Xenopus tropicalis: one gene and its partners. The protein of the gene in region 1 purifies or fractionates together with the protein of each later gene. This does not show direct contact. Links are inferred from orthologs where the notes say so. Each region holds a gene or a part of one and is shown on either strand. Other genes may lie near its edges.

Region 1 (3,655 bases):
TAGAATAAATAGAAAAAGCCTATTCTGGAGTACTATATGAAAATTATGGGATTACATTAAATTTTTGTTTTAGCAGGTATGCTTTGTCATGTCTGTCAAGAGACAGACATTACTCTCTAAACAACACGTGCCATAAACCTAAGGAAAATGCGGAAGCCGTTTGCCACTTTTACCTGGTGCAGAGAAGCTTAGATATTTCTGCTTGTCTGTGTGTTTGGAGTCATAAAACTTTAAAACATCCAGGACAGCTTGTGGATTTTTCTTCTGTTCGAGTTTAGTAATGTTTGAGGTCTGCAGTAACCGTGCCCATTGCTCTGGCATTCCCTATAACAATAAAATATGACAGGCGGTTAAGACACAAATGCATCAATGGGGCACTTACCTAATAAACCCTATATAGAACTTACTGCCAAAAAAATTCTCAAAGAAAAAAAATTTGTACTAATCTGACTTCTTGATAATTGAATACTATATACTATCTAGAATATAATGTGTACCAGATCTAAAAGAATGCGGAGCATAAAGTGAAATAGCACAGCACAAAGTAAAGATACCTTGATCAAATGGAGAAGGAAGCAACTTGCACAACTATGGTTTAGTGCCAAAGACAATAATGTTTACAATGTAGCTTAAAAGTGGTTGCAATGCCACAAAGATCTCCATATTGCACAGAAATCTGTAGGCAGAGATTCTTGGCTTCTGTGTGCACCACATATTGTCTGATTAGAACATTAACAGGGCACACCAGCTGTTCCCTAAACTTGCCTAGAAGCCATATGCAATGTATAAAATACCATATATTTTGGGGTATTTACTTGCCATACTAAGGGTAATCTTTCTAAAAAATGTCCATAAATCCCCTGGCATTCATATTTGTGAGCTTTTGCTAGTCTACCCTAAAGCATACATAAGAAATATTCTGCAAAGTGTCAATTTTGAGAGTTTTTTCCCAGGAATTCTGCCATATATAATTTCTTGTTTAGTTTGCAGTAGAATATATCCACATGATCAACAGTAATGAAACTCACAGTGAATTCTCCAGTGACAGCATCAAAGCCCACATGAATAGTGTGCTCAAAATCTGACGGTGGTGAAATCTCTGGCCTTTCCCTTTCTTTTTTTCTGCTTCCTGCCAATAAACAGATAGTAACATTTTTTTTTTTTTTTTAAAACACATGCGCTTTACATATATACATCTCATGATTGAGGATTAAAATACATTTTAGTTAAGCTTATGTCATGCATGGAGATTAGTAGCAGATTAGTAAATAAATGTAGAAAAAAAGACTTATTTGAAGACATTTAACACCAGTAGAAATGTAACACCCTATGTGGCACAAGACTTACTGTTACACAGAGTGATTTATAAGGCTATTAAACAATTTAAAAGATAAATACAGTTATTGAAACACTATCAATGCTTTAGACATAAGAAACACATAATGTACAGGTTAACCAACATACAGGAAACAATCAGATATTTGCATTACTCTGCAGCAGACCAGCAAAGTGTACCCGTTTATTTGTTGCAATAAGGAACTAATCCTAGGCCACACATTGAACATCCCATGGAAAATTTTTTATTTGTTCCTCAGATATTTGATCTTTATTTCAACAATAATTATAAATATATTAATGCACCATTCACATTTTGTAGTCCATGCCTTAGCCTGGGTATAAATAAGGTGTAATGGATCATTTAATTGTCTAGAAGATCATCCAGAAGTCAAGAACATTTCAAACAACTGCTAACTTGCCCAGGTCAGGCTGCCTCAGTAAGTTTAGACTGAGAATAAACCAAGATACTAAAAGAAGCCTCTAAAAGCCATAGAATTTAATCATAGGAACTACCTGTAGTTCACCCAACTACTGATGTGATGAAGAGCAGAAGTCTACGGTTATAAAGAAGTTTTACGAATAAGATGTATATGGGAATTGTAGTGAAGAAGCCTGTACTGTCCAGAAAGATCAGAGCAAGACTTAATTTATTTATAAACATATAAGAAAGGGCTTCTGCAACAACGTGCTCTGGACAAAGAAGTTATTTTTTTTACAGTACCAGAAGAAATGTCTGGTGAAAACTAAAAACAGCCAGAAGAATATATTAACTGTAAAGCATGGTGGTGGTTTGAAGCTGTTTTGCTGCATCAGGGCCTTGGTAGGACATCATACAATTTACTAGAAATTCTTTATTGTACTAGAGAATAATGTGCATATATATGCACACACATTCTTTATGAAAATTAAATATTGATGTGTCCACTTTTATAAAGATAAAATAAAAACTTGGGTTGTACATACTTTGTGACTGTATGTGATCTCCTTCACATCTACCATGCCCAAAATGCAGGCAGAACTTACTTGGAGAATTCCATATTTAAATGTGAATGCAGCAGTACTAACATGCAGCTTGTGCGAGACCATATCGTCTCTAACCATTCAATGTAGTAAGGTCACATAACAAGGGTTCATAACTGATCTGGTAGTAAGGATACCAATTCCAATCCAAAACTTTTTATAATTCTTTGATGCATCTGAATCTCAAAGTGATTCTATATTCCGCCTATGGATGCAGAAAATCCATATGTAATACAAGTTCTAGTGTTCCGACATCTGTTCAGCACACGTGTATGATAGACGTGTGCATTCCAATCTGCTCATTCAGCAAGCTTGTATTTTTTACTCCTGATCTCTGCAGTATTCCCTGGATGCTCCCTCATCTGGGCAAATGTTCTACTTTAGGTGACCTACACCTGTCTTTCAGGTGCTATTCTGAACTGTTAAAATTATGGATGGGACAAATAAAAGGAACAAATAAAAGGAAACTATCAAGCAAAATAAAGTCTTTTTTATGCACTGAAATTTTGGCATGATTACATTTTGGAACATTCATGCTTTCTCTATTCACATGTAATTATAAAGAACCTTACACAAATCACATGCAGTCACTTTAAACTCAGGGAGGGTTCTCATTCTAAGTAGGGATACACCGAATCCAGGAGACTGTTTGGGATTCAGCCTTTCTCAGCAGGATTCAGATTCGGCCGAATCCATGTGCCTGGCCAAACTGAATCCTTAAAATGTGACGGAAGTTGAAAATTCTTCACCACGCGCGGTTCTCTTTAACCCTTCGGTATCTTCATTTATATATTAAAATTTGGATTCAGTTTGGTATTCGCCCAATCTTTCACAAAGGATTTGGTGGTTCGGCTGAACGCCAAAATAGTGGATTCAGTTCTATGGCAAATAGAATTGTACAAACAAATATGCAATGAGGTTTCAGTTACACATGTAGCTTTTACAGATGCCACAATCACCTCTGTATCTTAAATAAGGAACTTAAAAGCTTTTTATTGCTGTTAAATTATGTAGCGAAATGGTTCCAGAACTTTGATGCTTATTGGCCTAAATATGTAGTTATCGCCCATATATCTACTGAGCAGTTTGAAAATACTATTGGATAAGAATCTACAGAAGTCTATCCATCAGCCAACCCATGATATTGTACAATCATTGGCCATGGGTTAAACAGAGGCACCACACAGCATGGCTGCCTTTCGATTTTGTCAATAATCTAGGCTATTTGCTGAGGCACCATACACTCACTAAATATGCAAACCTGCCCAGACCCCAAATTAATGAATATATATAGTAT
Region 2 (3,467 bases), on another chromosome or scaffold:
TCACTTTGCAGTCGGTAGGCGCTAGCGTTCAGTAGCCGCAGTGATGATCGCACTGTCTCCAGGGCAGGTTTCTGCCACAAACACAGGAGAAAATACAGTGGAGGTTAGAGAGTCACTGGCCAACTGCATAGGGGATCCATGTCTTCTACATCACTGGGAACTAGTTACATCCACACAGATACACAAATACTTTTCTGCCCTCATTTTCTATTGCTTGATTACTTGTGCTCTTATTAGTTCTTTAGTTCTTCTAATATATATATATATATATATATATATATATATATATATATATATTATATATATATTATATATATATATATATATATATATATATATATATATATATATATAAAATCTGAGTTAGTACTGTGTAGCACCAAACATGTAAGGCTTTTTGTATAGAATATATATATATGTATATATATGTATATAGTATATCGTATATATGTATATAGTAAGTTAGTACTGTGTAGCACCAAACATGTAAGGCTTTTTGTATTTCTCCTCTATTAAAGTCTGTTTTAACTTTAAACACCTCTTTTGTCGGATCTATGAGTGCCTGCTGACATTGTAAGTATTTAACAACTCCCAGCACCCCTAAAACTCTTGGCTATGTTGAGTTTAGCAGGGGAGCAACAAACTGAGCCACTCCCAGACAACTGGTTGGCTATAATGTTGCCCTGTGTGAGTAGAAGGCGCTTACCTTGGGGAAGAGAGATGCCATCTCCGTTACTGCTGAGTGAATCTTTTCCGAGCAAGGGACAAAGCTAAATAAAAAGCAGAATGAAAGAAACTGAGTGCAGGAGCCAAAGCCAGCGATGCAGGCAAACGTAGCTCACTTGGTACATGAGTGGGCATGTGGAGCAATACAGTAAGAAGCCAACATGAACAAAACTAAGGAAAGCATATTGTTTACTCACCCATTCTCTCGCCTCTTGCCCTCCCCTTTGTCTTCTGCTCTCCCTGTCTCCTTCTGTCCCTTCCTGCTCTCCCTTTCTCTCCCCTTTCCTATTCTTCTTCCTTACTATCCTCTTATTTGATTTTTACTGTATACCAACTTCTCTCTCATACATCTTGTGTTCTCTCAACATCCATTTTCTCCAATGCACCCTTCTTTCTGCCGCTCTCCTATTTGGCAGCCTGCTTATTACATCCCCGTTCTGTTCTTTTTCTCTCATTGCCATTGATTTTCATCCATTATTTTGTTTATTCTCAACCTTTCTATTCCATTCTGCTTTTCCCCTTTTCCCTTCTGATTTTCCCTTTCCTGCTCTCCATATTTTCCTAACATTCTCTGATGCTGCTCCCGCTATCCTACCCCCCCAACCAATTCTCATTATTATTAGAATGCCATGAGGATGTGCCCTGCTGCAAATCCAACTTTGCTCATCATCTACTTAGGCCATGTTTCACACTGTATTAAAATGTGTTGTTATTGCTTTTTAATGAAAGCTTCTATAGAAACCCCCCTCTTTTTGTCATAAAATCATTCATTTGAATATAAAAGGACAATGGTGCATAACCACAGGCAGATTATCATGGTTGTTGTAGTGTTTATGCACCCTTTTTATATAAAGTGGAATGAGTTCATGCCAAAAGCCTGTTTATTTTCCCTTGAAATCTCTCCTGCATGCCCATCCTATCCAGTTGCTGCTCACTGATCCCATATAGTGCAATCTCCCTGTAAAAAAAAGCCAGAGAAGGTCCCAAATCCAGGCAAAGATACTGTGTATTATTAGACAGTGCTGCAGAATAGTATTTTCTCCCTGCGACTATTATTTTAATAAATGCTGCCCCAATGTCTGTTGCAACACCCCCTAGTTTGCTGCAGTATTATTATGGGGTGCTTTCTTGCAAATGATCCTCAGTTGTGCCGCTGCTCTCCCTCACCTGTCGTGCTTGAACTCCTGTGCAGCCCGCAGCAGCTCCTGGATGTTTTTGGTAACTTGCTCTGTTCGAAGGATCACATCCTCTGTGCTGGGCAGGGCAGGGTCTAACTCCAGTTCCACATCTTCAGCCTCCGTGTGGGGATCCTCATCCCGGGACACATCCAGGTACCGCCTGCCATCGAGCCTAGAAAGAGTTCAATATACAGAGCTCATTACCCACTGTGCACTGGGAGAGAGTGGAACTATCACTGTTACGGCTATAGCACAGGGGTGCACAACACATCCCTATGTCCTACAGATCCCTGCTTGCCCTATTACCATCCATACAACTGTATAATTAGTCAGGGCTCAGCAACCTTCTGTAGCTTAAAGTCAACTGAATTAAGAACTGGTAGTAGAAGTCACTTGAAAAAGGGCCAGGTTAGGGCCTGAAACATTGCTTGGAGTCGGAGATCTAAGCCATGAATTTCCAATAAAAAGGCTATTTACATTTCTAACCCTGGATGGTTCAGTGATTCTGCTAGCTATTATCACCATCCATACTCAGTTGACAACCATATGTTTGAGGTAACTGGCCCCCCAGTGATATTACCTTTCCTTGCCCTTCATGCATTGGTTGAGTTGATGCTGCTTATTTAACAAACTGGATGTTTTTTCAGTAAAGCAAAATATGTGGAGCTATTAAGATGGCTTTTTGAAAACATTAGCAAAAGGTCTGAGTAACCCAACTGCCACATTGGTGACCAGCTCCTACACCATATATAGCAACAGCCAGTCTTGTAAGCACCCCAGAGTATTTTTAGCAATTACTTTGCCCCATGCCAGATACATGATGTATCCTAATAGGCGGCACTTCGGCAAAGGGTTCATTTATTGCCCTTGCATTGTCACATACCCGCTGCTGGTTTCTGTGCTCTGCGTATTATCATAGTCACTGTCTGTGCCGCTGCCATGCCGCTCCGGTTTTGTAGGCTGGGGAAAAAACAAACATTAGGAATCTCATTTTCCTACAACTTGGCTGCTGGAAGTCCCAGGCTCTGTCCCAATAGGGCGTTCAGTATGGATGGAGAGACTGGTAATGCAGGCTCAAACCTGCCATTTGCCCAAAGCTTTTTGTTCCAAAATGTATTACACTAAGTATTTTGTGTATATATTTAGCTACACTAAGGGGCCTATTTATTATGCTGTGTAAAACAGGGCAACAAAATTCGCCACGCATTGCCAGGACTCGCCATGTTAAAAACTGCAGAATCCTTTAAATGCATTTTTTTTCTTCCACTGGAACTTACATAAAATAACAGCGTGAAATGTGGCATACGGACGGTAAAATTCACCATTTATTTTACACAGCATAATGAATAGGCCCCTTAGTATGTTGTGTATATGCTTAGCTACACTTAGTATTCTGTTGTGGCTCTTTAAGTTACATGAAACATAAAGGTCACTAGTGGTTAAGGGGTTAAAAACCTGTATTACAGGAGAGAAATAGGGTGGCACTCAGCAGAACGAAATGCATTCTATTTTTTCCCTGTTGGACTGTTTGGCTAGTTTTAGCTCCCAGGCATATATTTAGTA
Region 3 (4,417 bases), on another chromosome or scaffold:
ATATGCCTTTGGTGGGAAGTGAACTCTGGGGCTGTCATCAGTGTGGAAACCACTTAACTGCTATGCCTTCCATGCGTTTTAGCAATTTGTTATAGTTAATCAAATGTGTAAAACATATCAAGAGATGTTCAAACAGATTTAGAAAAAAAACCCTATTGCTCAGAGAAGAGTCCTCAGCCCCACATACAAATAATGTCATCACCACAAAGCTGGGACATGTAAAATGTTTTTTCCTTGACAATAAGAAAAGGGCCAAGAAGTGACCCATGCAGTTACTGGCATCATAACATAAACAATGGTTTTTCTGACAATTATTTGCACAACCTAACTACTCCGACACGTCATTTTGTTATGCAGGTATTTCTATGCAACAGTTGGTAACATATCATTGTGACGGCAAAGGTTTTTACCATACATAAAAATGTGTATTTTTGTATGAAAAGTCCCTTTTCATTACAAAATTACATAACCCTTTGCATATAAGGCTCCATATGGATAGTCTATGGTAATTTTTAGTGATTTCAAGTTCTTCAATTACATGAAGAACAAAGTACAAGTACAGGTATGGGACCCATTATCCAGAATACTCGGGACCTGGGGTTTTCCGGATAAGGGGTCTTTCTGTAATTCGGATCTCCTACCTTAAGTCTTCTAAAAAGATTATTTAAACTGTAATTAAACCCAATAGGATTGTTTTGGCTAAAGTAAGTATTAATATCTTAGTTGGGATCAAGTACAAGGTACTGTTTTATTATTACAGAGAAAAAGGAAATCATTTTTAAAAACTGGAATTATTTGCTAATAATGGGGTCTATGGGAGATGGCCTTTCCGTAATTCAGAACTTTCTGGATAATGGGTTTCCGGATAAGGGGTCTGATACCTGTACTTGGCTTTCCAGCTATTCCATTACTGCTGTGATCAGATCCAAACAAATTCTATATGTGTAATGGGCGTACGGCTAATTAGAGCATTTTGCAGCTCTAGGATCACCACACTACAAATCTCCCTTCCATTATCATTGAACTTAAAGTACCCAGTGCAGTTGCACAGAGTTAATTATTTCCTAAAAAAAATAACACTTACACTGTGCCACTGAGAGAGAGTCCCCCTATGAGCAGTGGGTGTTTAGGGTCCCATTTTGGGAAAAATTAAACATTTATTGATTGTTACAAATATATTCTGTTTCTATTTATTCCAATTATTATTATTGTTTGTTTGATGCCAATATAAACTGCAGCACTTTACAAAGAGTAGTACAGGTATGGGACCTGTTATGCTCAGGACCTGGGGTTTCCAGATAAGGGATCTTTCTGTAATTTGGATCTCCATACCTTAAGTCTGCTAAAAATAATTTAAATAATATAAACCCAATAGGATTGTTTTGCCCCCAATGAGGATTAATTATCTAGTTGGGATCAAATACAAGGTACTGTTTTATTATTACAGAGAAAGGAAATAATTTTCAAAAATCAAAATTATTTGCTTATAACAGAGACGGCCTTTCCGTAATTTGAAGTTTTCTGGATAATGGGTGTCCAGATAACAGGTCCCATACCTGTACAAGAATGGCATTATAAAAATGACAACACAAGCCAAGTACAATCATTATCACAATTCATATCATAGAGAAAGGAATGAAATAATTGAATGAATCTTGCCTATATGCTTACAAACCAGTACAACTGAAGCATTAATATACCCGCTGCTGGTCCTTTCACTGGAGGCTGGGAAGGGGCAAGTATGGGGCACCCAAACAATGTTCTCCGCCTAGGTTTAGCGACTGCCTTGATCTGCTATTTCTAATATCATGCCACAAATACACACAATGAATACAAAAAGTGTGAACAATATATGCTATTTAGCACAGCACCCACTTGCTAAACAATCCTACCCATATACAGCAGCTCATTAAAGAAAGCCCCACAATGTAAAAGCCCACAAGTGACACATCAGCCACATGAGGCCTAGATTAATAATCACAGCGGGCAAACAAGACACCCAGCAACACGTGCCCCCTGAGCTTGCAGCTCCCATGGGTGCCAAAGGCGCACCCAGCACCACTGACACGACTAGAGCTGAAGCACAGAGCTGCACTAACACACACAGGCAGCACTAACACACACAGGCAGCACTAACACACACAGGCAGCACTAACACACACAGGCAGCACTAACACACACAGGCAGCACTAACACACACAGGCAGCACTAACACACACAGGCAGCACTAACACACACAGGCAGCACTAACACACACAGGCAGCACTAACACACACAGGCAGCACTAACACACACAGGCAGCACTAACACACACAGAGCTGCACTAACACACACAGGCAGCACTAACACACACAGAGCTGCACTAACACACACAGGCAGCACTAACACACACAGGCAGCACTAACACACACAGGCAGCACTAACACACACAGGCCCGCGGGCAGCACAGCCCCCATGCCACAATGCACTGAGTTTCAATGGGAAATCTACAGTCTGATTCTGGGCTCTCGGAGGATGCTGGAAGTTGTAGTTGAGTCGGAACACTGCGTAATTACTATAGCAATGTCGCCATCCCCCATTCCGTGACGCCTGCCAACCACAAAATGGTTTGACACGCAAGGACCCCCTTCTTAAAGCAAGTGACACCCGGCGGCTCGCTGCTTACCCGGCACGCTGCAGTCTGCACACACCTCCGGGCTCCTCAGCCGCTTGGACATGGTGGCGGGCAGCCCCGGGGAGGGCCCCTGGAGAACTTCTCTCGCTAGAACGAAGCGAATTAGTGTGCAAGCAGCAGCGCTGAGCACAAAAAGAAGGGCCTCGGGTTGCGGGATACAAAGCGCCGTATAGAGAAAAAAAAATCCGATGTAACAAGCTAACCCAGCCCGAACTGACGGACTCCGACGGACTGCAAGGCAAGCCACGCCCACATAGCCCAGACAAGCACAGCAAGCCCAGCCTGTGATACGCCCCGCCCACACAGGCTAGACAGGCCACACCCACGCAAGCCCCGCATCTCCAGTTCCATCTAATAAGCCCTTCCCATACAATGGTAACATACTCGCGTTTTCTCCGCCCACGTTTGTCTTGGACGCACCTTCAAGTCACAGGAAAGCTTGCGTCCTTGTTACGCACATTGCAGTCGCTGCTAGCATAATGCCAATCATCTTCCAAAATTCGACTTCTACGGTTGTGATTGGGTGTGAAACTTTTGGCCTTCCGGCTGCGTGATGTTTAGCGCTTAGAATCCTTCCTTGCGTGCGCATGTAGATAACAAATGGCCAGTCAACAGGGTTTTGAGATATTCTGCTGTGTGTGGTCATTCCATCCCTTCAATGATCCCCCTCTCAAAACCTGGTATAAGAATTCGTTTTAGTTGCTATTTACCTTTTTAACAGCTGGAAATAGCGTCATGCTGCACTCGAATGTTGTGCTTTTGTAAATATCAAAACAAATATTGTTTTTGCTTTTCCAAGCACAATACTAGTGTTTATCAGTTTCTATATTTATTGTTTTTGCATCTGGACAAAAGGCACCCAGGTACATGTTTCTTTCCTATAGGCGCAACATGTATAGGTGGCTGCAACTGTAGTATAAGGAGTGACCAGCGATTGGGCATATAATCAGTTCCATTCAGCTAGTTATGTGCAAGTAGTTCTCTAGCTCTGATTCTGTGAAATTCCTCTTTGTACCCCCTGATAAAACTGACTAGTGTGTTGTGTGAATGTCATTCACTGATAAGAATGATGTATAATCTCTTTAAAGGCCTACAGAATATGTTGGTAGTATATATCAGTTGAAATAATAATGTGGTTTGCTTAAAGTTGCCACCTTTCTTGTTTTCCCTGAGGCTGGTAAGTTCAAAACTGTCTTCCAGGTTAAACTGTAACAAAATTTTACTGGGACTCTTCAATCCCCACCCTTTTACACAATCACCCATTCCTACATGTCATTGACCTGCATCCAAACTCATAGCCATGCCCTCTTTGATTTAAACTTTTGAATTCGTATGACTAGTTATAGAAAGGTGCTAACAGTTGAGACAACATACTCGACTTGAGCAACTGTCCTGATTTTAGATGAACAGCCCCCCTTTTTAATTTACCACTGTATCTGAGGGGCAGAACTGTGTCTTGTTTAATGCTTGGGGGCTACAATATGTATGTGAGGGCCTTAGTGTATCTTATTCTAACATGTAAAAAGGGGTGTGTTTTTACTTTGGATGGTATTTTGAGAATGTGGACCTAGCCAAATTCATTTTGTCCCTCTTTTGGTTTTTCAAAGTTTAGGAGTTAAGAACTACCATAATATAGTCCAGTACTAAATAGAAGCCCACTCTCCTTGTACATTGTAAGCTCTTTTGGGAAGGGCTCTCTTCACCTCTTGTATCAGTTATTGATTGCTTTATATGTTACTCTGT

The links.
Region 2: the proteins of pak2 (region 1) and git1 purify together in Homo sapiens (affinity purification with mass spectrometry; 5 studies listed by BioGRID and IntAct, with this or other methods). This does not show direct contact. The link is inferred for Xenopus tropicalis from reciprocal best matches to the Homo sapiens genes PAK2 and GIT1.
Region 3: the proteins of pak2 (region 1) and git2 purify together in Homo sapiens (affinity purification with mass spectrometry; 3 studies listed by BioGRID and IntAct, with this or other methods). This does not show direct contact. The link is inferred for Xenopus tropicalis from reciprocal best matches to the Homo sapiens genes PAK2 and GIT2.

What each region holds. Positions count from the first base shown.
Region 1 is NC_030681.2:129,785,916-129,789,570, forward strand, and holds part of pak2 (serine/threonine-protein kinase PAK 2), read right to left. Parts: intron 1,130-3,655; coding exon 1,029-1,129; intron 325-1,028; coding exon 174-324; intron 1-173. UniProt on the Homo sapiens protein: Serine/threonine protein kinase that plays a role in a variety of different signaling pathways including cytoskeleton regulation, cell motility, cell cycle progression, apoptosis or proliferation.
Region 2 is NC_030678.2:32,816,544-32,820,010, reverse strand, and holds part of git1 (ARF GTPase-activating protein GIT1), read right to left. Parts: intron 2,865-3,467; coding exon 2,788-2,864; intron 2,077-2,787; coding exon 1,894-2,076; intron 771-1,893; coding exon 707-770; intron 72-706; coding exon 1-71. UniProt on the Homo sapiens protein: GTPase-activating protein for ADP ribosylation factor family members, including ARF1.
Region 3 is NC_030677.2:147,407,227-147,411,643, forward strand, and holds the start of git2 (ARF GTPase-activating protein GIT2), read right to left. Parts: upstream 2,883-4,417; 5' UTR 2,718-2,882; coding exon 2,666-2,717; intron 1-2,665. UniProt on the Homo sapiens protein: GTPase-activating protein for ADP ribosylation factor family members, including ARF1.